Caenorhabditis elegans: one gene and its partner. The protein of the gene in region 1 interacts with the protein of each later gene in a pairwise test. Each region holds a gene or a part of one and is shown in the gene's direction. Other genes may lie near its edges.

The links. Proteins that work in one complex are often made in the same cells at the same time.
Region 2: the proteins of dpff-1 (region 1) and lsl-1 interact in a two-hybrid assay, tested with the Caenorhabditis elegans proteins (one large-scale study listed by BioGRID).

Annotation. Positions count from the first base shown.
Region 1 is NC_003281.10:5,903,025-5,907,739, reverse strand, and holds dpff-1 (Zinc finger protein dpff-1), read left to right. Parts: upstream 1-1,617; 5' UTR 1,618-1,624; coding exon 1,625-1,707; intron 1,708-1,833; coding exon 1,834-2,087; intron 2,088-2,125; coding exon of another isoform or gene 2,126-2,137; coding exon 2,138-2,343; intron 2,344-2,392; coding exon 2,393-2,495; intron 2,496-3,287; coding exon 3,288-3,377; intron 3,378-3,424; coding exon 3,425-3,657; intron 3,658-3,708; coding exon 3,709-3,858; 3' UTR 3,859-4,177; downstream 4,178-4,715. Other genes in the region: ER lumen protein-retaining receptor erd-2.2, read right to left, coding at 204-446, 491-682. UniProt on the Caenorhabditis elegans protein: Probable transcription factor, involved in meiosis and stress protection.
Region 2 is NC_003279.8:9,899,581-9,903,456, forward strand, and holds lsl-1 (C2H2-type domain-containing protein), read left to right. Parts: upstream 1-1,698; coding exon 1,699-1,764; intron 1,765-1,811; coding exon 1,812-1,896; intron 1,897-1,943; coding exon 1,944-2,184; intron 2,185-2,420; coding exon 2,421-2,687; intron 2,688-2,850; coding exon 2,851-2,959; intron 2,960-3,009; coding exon 3,010-3,108; intron 3,109-3,156; coding exon 3,157-3,246; 3' UTR 3,247-3,349; downstream 3,350-3,876. Other genes in the region: Mitogen-activated protein kinase kinase kinase mom-4, read right to left, coding at 299-378, 424-522, 626-792, 951-1,019.

The DNA of each region.
Region 1 (4,715 bases):
GCGAAATTCGGAATACGGGGAAAACGGTTGGAATCGGGAGAAACGACAATTTCTAAGCACAACAATTTTCTTGTACTATCTCCAATTTTGCCATCTCTGGATTTTACACTTTTTTACGGCATGTCGAATTGAGAGGGAAAATTTTGCACGCTGAAGTCAAATTTGGCGCATTTATTGTATTATTTATTATTTTCCAGATTTACCTCAGCGGAACCGGTAGACTGGAGAAGGAAGAGTTGTGGAAGAATGGCCACAGCCTCCAAATAGATCGAAAAAGTCCAGAGCAACTCAAATGGAGCGAAATCGTGATTGATGAGAAGAGCGAGGATCGCAGCTGGGACGATGAGAAGCTCGACACGGAAGGTATCCGACTCGCGCATGTAAGTTGAGCGGAATTTGAAGAACATCAGATACACTGTGGCGTACGTAGCGGCGAGGAAGGTGATCTGAAATTTGATTGTATTTATAATTGTTACGGACAGAAAGTTACCTTCATTGTAGTGTTATACAAAGAAATGTATGTGGAGAAAAGATCCAAGTATCGAGCAGTGAACACGAGAGCGAACAGAATCTGCGACCGCGCAGAGATTCCGGAGCACGATCTGCTCTTCCAGATTTTGAGCAGAAGGATGATAATCGCAAGCAAGTGCGACATATCTGCCGATATACGGAAGATGTTCATGATGACCCTAAAAATTATCATACTTTGAGAATTTAGATACATACATCAGGTAAAGAAAAGAAAACGCAAATATGAAATGAATTGGAAAACACCTATTCATTCCAGTGAATGGGTATGTTTTCAATTATCGAGGTCAACGTTGTTTATCAAAAGATAACGGATAGAGTGATAGGGAACAGAGAAAATTATATTATATGGACGGTAAAGTTCCGGAGAACGAACAGAAATGGTTTAGAGTTTTCCTTTCGCAGACAAAAAAGAGTGCAATAAAAGCCAGCACTGAATGTGCCACGTGGGAATTTTGAAAAATGCAAATACAACGCAACGAAGCTAAAAAGGTTTACTGAAAAAAACTAAAAAATGGAACTTAAAACATAAAGACAAAATTTTTAAACATTGAATGCAAAAACTACGTGTATTTACAGTTAAAAAACACATAACCCTGCATTCAACAAAAAAACAAACATTTCGATTCGCTAGGTAAAATGCATGGAAATATTCTATGAAAACTAGAATGTTTGAATAGAGCATTTTGTTCGAACGTTCTGAATACCGAATGTTTTTTTTTTGTTTTCGAAAGACCTAGATTTTCTAAAATTGTAGGCCTACATGAACTTTTCAACCATTTTTTGGTATTCACATAATGCGTAGCTACATATTAATCAATTATCGCAAAAAATTTAAACTGTTTAATTGAAAAACGAAACGTTTTAGGCCGGAAACGAAGAAGAAAACTCGAGCCAAAAGGTCCATCAGCCAACGAGTCCACGCTGGACAATACGCAATTTCGCGTGTTGGTGTTTGCGTACATCGGCAGCTGTCCAATTTATCGATCAGTGTTCATTCATTCTCTTGTTTTTTTTGTTTGTTCACACCGGGCGCCCGATTTCTTGAGCTATCAAAATGTTTAAAAATAATCCAAGACAGCTAATCTTACAGACAATGATCTCGGAAAACGGATATATGGACCTGATGCGGAACTGCATTAAATGGAATTCCCGGCAAATGGAGGATCGTAAAAAACGGTTAGTTATTGATGTTTCGGCTACTTAAAAAAGATCCATTTGAAATCTGAATAATCTAAGTAATGATAAATCTTTAGAGCATTTAGGAATTATTTTTTGGTTGTACTAAGCCCCTAAAAGTTGCAGACTGCGGTTCCCATACTATGAACATCAAACGGCTACGGCCCAGCGAGAGTCTCGCTTCACAACCCGCAACGTGGATCACATGTATCCATCAAATGATCCAAATACTGTTGTTCAATTCGCAACCGAGAGATGGAAGAAGAGCAAGTCACAGCCACCATCTGATGCTGTTGAGATGAGCATGTTTTTGCGTGAGAATCCGTCTATTCAGGTTGCAATTGATCATCTCACTCCACAAGTTGTCGGACCAACAACTGGTGAGAAGCATCAGAACGATTCAACCTAATTTTTGTAGTTCGATTTGCAGAAAGTGTTTCTGATAGTTCGAACGACTCAACTACCATCAGACCATCCCGCCAAACACAGATCAAAGAGGAATATCGTGATGACTACGTTCTTGACGATGAGCTCTCTCCAGACGAGTTTGGCTCCGATGAAGATGATTGGTCGTCGCGTAAACGCCGTAAAGGCAACTTGGGGCCTGTTCAGAAAGCAACTTCGTCACGTAAAAAGGTTTCTTTATTTATTCAATTGTTTAAATAATTTTATTCTGACTGTTTAGGTACCAACAACTCGTTCCTCTGTCTCTCGATTGACCCCATCTCGTTCCATAGTGAAGGAAACAAAATATGAAGAACCGGAGGAGAAGACGTATCCATGTGACAGTGAGTGGTTGTACGGCGGATTAGCGAAGCCCTCTCGCCCAGGAGAACACACCATTCTTCTTGTCCTTTTTAGTCTTATTTGCCTCCCCCATCGCCCACAGCATGTCAGTTACCGGGAACACTATCATCATGATTTTTAGTTTAATTTTTCGTATCTTGATTCATTCGGTTTCGAGATTTTTCAAAAAATTAGGATGCTTGGAAATTGCACGAGATTATTTATGTTTTTGCATGCTTTAGTTTTTTTTTTAATTATGCATGTTTCTCCAGAGATCCAAGGAAAATTAAATCAAAAAAATGGGAAATTTGGTCTAAAAAATAAATTTTGGAAGATTATGTATGATCTTTTTTTAATATTAGTTTCATAATTAGTGGTGTGATTTGTAGTACTTCTTCACATAATTGTGGATCTTATCAAATGTATTAGCTTCCTTCCTCTCGTTATCAATTTGCACTAAGTCATAAGCCAATATGTATCCTGAATATCCCATTCTTATATCCCTCCTAGTATTTTATCCCTCTGTAAAAGAAACCTGGGCGAGAGGGACCTCAGTAAAAAATCCTGCGGCAACCGCTCAACTGATCAAAAATACATCTCTCCCACCCGGGACACGGGGTCTATCGAGAGGAAGTTTGTAGAAATATAGGCACTAAATTTAGCATGTACTGAGTGTTCCTGGAAGCTTATATGATGTGGCATAATGGGAAATCTGTGATTTGAAAATACTCTTTTCAAACCGCATATTTCCCAAGTCCTTTCGTTTGTAATTTAAAATTTTTGATAATTTTCAGAATGCAGCGCGAAATACAAAAGCCTCGCGGGTTTAAGCTATCATCAGTCGTATCTTCATGATCAAAAGTCTAGTCAACCACTGGTTAAGTGTAAGTTTTTTGCATTCCAAGCTATTTTCAAATGTATTATTTTTCAGTATTGTCTCCCAGTATAGAAATATCTACTAGCTGTGATTTCTGCAGCGGCACTGCTTTTATGAACAAAAATACAAAATTGCCAGAGGATCTCGTTAGTTGTCATGATTGTGGTCGTTCTGGTCATCCTTCCTGTCTTAATTTTAATCAAAATGTGACCAAAATCATAAAAAGAAGCGGATGGCAGTGTCTTGAGTGCAAGAGTTGCACCATTTGTGGTACAAGTGAAAATGATGTAAGATATTTTCTATTATATTTATAAAGTGCAATATTAATTGGATTTCAGGATAAATTGCTCTTCTGTGACGACTGTGATCGTGGATACCATCTTTATTGTCTGACTCCGGCGCTCGAAAAAGCTCCAGATGATGAGTATTCATGTCGGTTATGTCAAGTTGAATTCGGAGACAAAGCGAGTGCACCGGCCAAGAAGTAATGGTTCTCAAATATTATATTTATTCCAATATTTTTTGCATAATCTCGACCCGTTTGCTTACGATCCTCCCACACCGTCATCCGATTATTTATTCTTCATTTTCACTTGAACTTTAAGTATTATTATTACTACGTAATGGCTCATACATAGAGAAAAATTCTTGTTCTAAAAAGCCAGCCTAAAACCTCACTCACCCCTCCTTCTGCTACTTTGATTTCTCGCTCTTTTCTTTTTTGTACTTCCACATTTTCCTCGTCCTTTTTATTTATTTCAGTCTTATCATAAAAAAGTTCAATAAATACTATGATTCAAAATAAAACACATGTGAAGAAACTCGAACAATATTGGAAGTTTCAAAGAATCAAACGGAACATTGAAAATTCTAATTCAAATTACTATTTTCCAGTTTAATTGACAATTTTTTTTATTAACATCTTGGAGTACGATACAAGGTCTTACAACGATCGAATATATCCAAATGAAAAGAGATAGGCACCTTTAAGAAGTACAGTAACCTTCACGGCCCACTGTTTTGCAGTTTTCTTTCATTTAAGCTAGTTAAAAATATATATAATTGTTTAATTTTAGATAAATATTGTCACATCCAATAGGTTTTTAGAGTAAAAATTACAACAAATAAAATTGCAAAACCATGGGGCGTGGAGATTATATTTGGTCTTGTCGAGACCTGGTACTGTATTTTTAAGTGAAAATTGCAAACTTTCGTATCTGGGTAATATATCTAGTTTTAAAAAATCTAAAATTATCGTTTTAGAATGTTTAATTTACTTTGGTTGTTTCATAAAAAGAGAATTAACTGTTTGTATTCATTTTATTATCATTTTATCATCTTATCT
Region 2 (3,876 bases), on another chromosome or scaffold:
AAAATGGAAAAAAAAAACCAAATAGCATTTTTTTTGTTCAAAATTATAGTGAAATTTTTTTTGCCAGATTTTTCGTGTTACAGCGTCCATATATTGATTTTTATTCAGTTTCTTCCATATTTTGCAGTATAATCCGCTTTTTTGATGTATTTTAATATATTTTTAGCTGATAGAAATTTCTGTTCCTATTGCCGAAAAAATGTAGTTTAATTCGCTAAGAAACACGGAATAAACCGACAAAATGTTAAAAAATTTGGCGAAATCGGGGATTTTCACTAAATTTAAATGAAAATCTCACAATCGGCCATGCTTCCACAATCCATATATTCCATAACGACTCCTTGCCCATTCCGAGGGCTTTTGTACAGTCCATAAATTCTGAAAAACTTCTATTTTCAGTATTTTCCATTTATAAAAACATACTTTATAATATTAGGATGATTTCTGAGATCCCACATAACTTTTGCTTCTCTTATAAGAGTTGCCATATGAAGTTGAGAAGAATATTTGATTGCTGCTGGCCTGAAAATAATATTTTGGTGATTTTATTGATTTTTTGTTAACTTTTGATAATTCCTCATGCTTTAAAAGAATTAAATTTAAATTTTTGAAGCTAGAAACGAACCTAAAGTCATCCTGCCTAGTTTTTCTATATCTTGTTTTCTCAACCAATCCATAAGTGCCTTTTCCGAGATAATGACTATTTAAATTATCAATACATTGTGCTTGAATTTCGGGAATATCAATTGTTGAGCACAATCCGGAATCTCGTGTTGTTCGTTGTGTTGGTGTCTGAATTTATTAATTTATTGAGTTTTCAGTGATTTTTATTGATAGTTTTGGTAAAAGCAGGCTTTATACGTCTTCAACTGATTTTTTTAAAAATTAAATACAATACTGTTTTTACAAGAAAACGTTATTTTTCTTTACTCAAAATCCATTAAACTTACAATTGCGGCAGGACTTGGCGAATGACTGGACGAACTACTAGACGGTTTGCTCTGTGACGAATTGTCCATTTCAGAGCCGAAACGGTGAAAAAAATGGTGATGGGCGGCAAAGGACAGGAACTGGCATGTGTTGTGTGTGTATACTCTTTCTCTCGCTCAGTGGAAACGATATAGTGCACAAGTAGAAGAAACTGCAGACGAATAACAAAATAGACCAACGGGACACAGACAGATTTCCGATTTAGACAAGGAAGAATGATGATTTTAAAGAAGTTACTGTAGCATGGCTGAAAATTGTTTTGATAAATACATAAAATTCAATTGCGCAGGTTTTACAGAAAATTCAAAATAAAGAATAATTGAATGTTTTAAGTTCTGAAAAGTAAAGAAATTACACAACGGGGAAGAAGTATGGAAATTTATTCAAATTATATTTGTATAAAAAATACAAAGATCGAAAATGTTCTAATTTTCTGTTCTTCTGTTCTAAACTAATTTTGTTAAATATATAAATAATGTTTTCAGCTTAATTCGAAATTGCAGAAACAATTCTTTGTTGGGGACACTGTGCTCAAAGGCGCATGACGCAACGAAACTTTTGGGTCTCACCACGAAACTGTCAAACACGGTAATCCTAAAATTTAGAGAAGCTGTCAATTAATTTATGAGTTTTGTTTGTCTTAATTTTATGTTTAAACCAACAAATTGTCTGCATTTTTTCTTCAAAAAATTTTATTTTTTACTTCAGATGTCAATTATTGATGACCGAACGGATCCATCTTACGACGGCGAGGACTACGAAGCTTCTATAACGGTATTTTATTTCGATTCTTATTTTTAAGATTATTGAAATGTTTCTAGTTCGGAACCTATCAACAAGAAGAAGTCGCCCCGTTTGCTGTTCATCAGTGTAATGTGTGTAATAAAATGTTTATGAATTATAAAGGTTATTCGCATAAAAATAGAAAGCTGAAATAAAAAAAAACATTTCAGGTCTCCAACAGCACTCTGTGATTCATACCGACACCAAACCATACATCTGCGATGTTTGTGGCCGAGGATTCCGATACAAATCGAATATGTTCGAGCATCGTACCGTTCACACCGGCTATACCCCTTATGTGTGTCCATTTTGTGGAAAACAGTTCCGATTGAAAGGAAACATGAAAAAGCACATGCGAACTCATGTGACAAGCAAAGAAGAGTTGGAAGCTGCTTATAGACCATATTCGAGGTTGGCAATCGGTCGACCCTTCACCTTCACAAATAGTTCGTGGTACGTATATTATACATTGGACGTACAATAAATATGTTATTCACATTGCATTGCACGAATTTTAAGAACTTCGTCCATTATATTATGTGAATAATACATTTATTGTACGTCCACCGTATAATACACGAACCACGAATTATATGTGTTGTACGAGGGGAATTCTGATATCTATCTCGTCTTAAAAATGATTTCAGCAATCGGCGTTCGTCTGGAATTATTCCGTCCGATGCTCTAGTCATTCGTGGGACATCGATGCCCTATTACAATCCAGAGAAGAAGCGATCGGTTCCGAAACTTTTATTGGGTAAAGATCCTTCAAAATGGGTTGATATGATCTGCCGAAACCAGCTTATCCCACTATCTTCATTTGACGATAAAATCATGAGAGCTACAATGCGATTGACTAACTGTCACATGGCATCCGATGTTCTAGAACAAGCTAAACCACTCGAGTTTGAGATGTAAGTTTCAATTCAATTTGAAATTACAGTACTCTTTAAAGGCGCACGCCCTTTTGTATTTTACAAAAAAAGAAGACGTGAAAAGACCAGCGTTTGTATTTTTACCGCAAATTATTATAATTATTGTCTTACTAATATCCCATGCAAAATCTGAAAATTACAGCTTTCGATGCCCAATTTGCAAGTGCGAATGTAGTGGAAGAGAGGATTGTCAACTGCATATGTATGCTTCTCATGATAAGAAAGAAGCTGAAGAACCAAATTATTGCACGGTAAATAATTGAAAATTAAATCTTGAATATCCTGTAAACTTTATTTTCAGAAATGCATGAGAGTATTCGCCGACGTAGATATGTATCGTCAACACCAAAGCTATCATTCTCGTGTTCAATTGATGATTCGTAATAATGAACTTGAAATGGTGAGTTGTTAAATATTGCTAATTCTTAATTGTATTATTTTGTTTCAGGGCTCTCCAGAAGTCGATATCTCTCAAATCTGCTACAGTATGATCACTAACACTGAAAATGAGATGAACATTCTAAAACCATCAGCATAGTTTTTCCCCTGAATTTTCCCCACATCCCTGTCTTTCTAACGCCCGTGTAATTGTTTTGTTCTGTTGCACTTGTTCCTTTCATTTTTATGAAGTTTTCATTTTGAAAATATGAATGGAAGACAAAATACAACAAACGTTGGATGATGGCAAAGTTTTTTAAGGAAGGAAGTAAAAAAGAAGCATAAAGGAGTTGGGAAATTCACAATTAAAGCACAACCAAAGCAGGACAAGGTGAAGAAAAAGACAATTTGGGGGAATGTTTGAATGGTAAAGCTGTGATAATGAGAGAAGATGATTTCTGATTTTAAGACATTTAATACACAGGGTTGGGGATATCAATGATACTTCTTTTAATTTGGAAAAACAACCAATTTCAGATTCTAGAATATAAATTACATTTATGAGACACACGTTTTGAATATCCCTCTCGCGGGGGAACAAAAAAAGATTTGAGGGAATCGGGAACACACAGAGAAAGAGCAGATGTTTTCGGAGAAAGCCGGGAAAAAAAAGTATGAAGAAGTGAGAGACGCAGACGAAAAGCAGTGCAGGTGGCTCATTAAAGAGGTAAACGAGTTGAGGTGGTGCATATTGATACTTTAAGATTATATGTTTGACGGATTTGAAGGT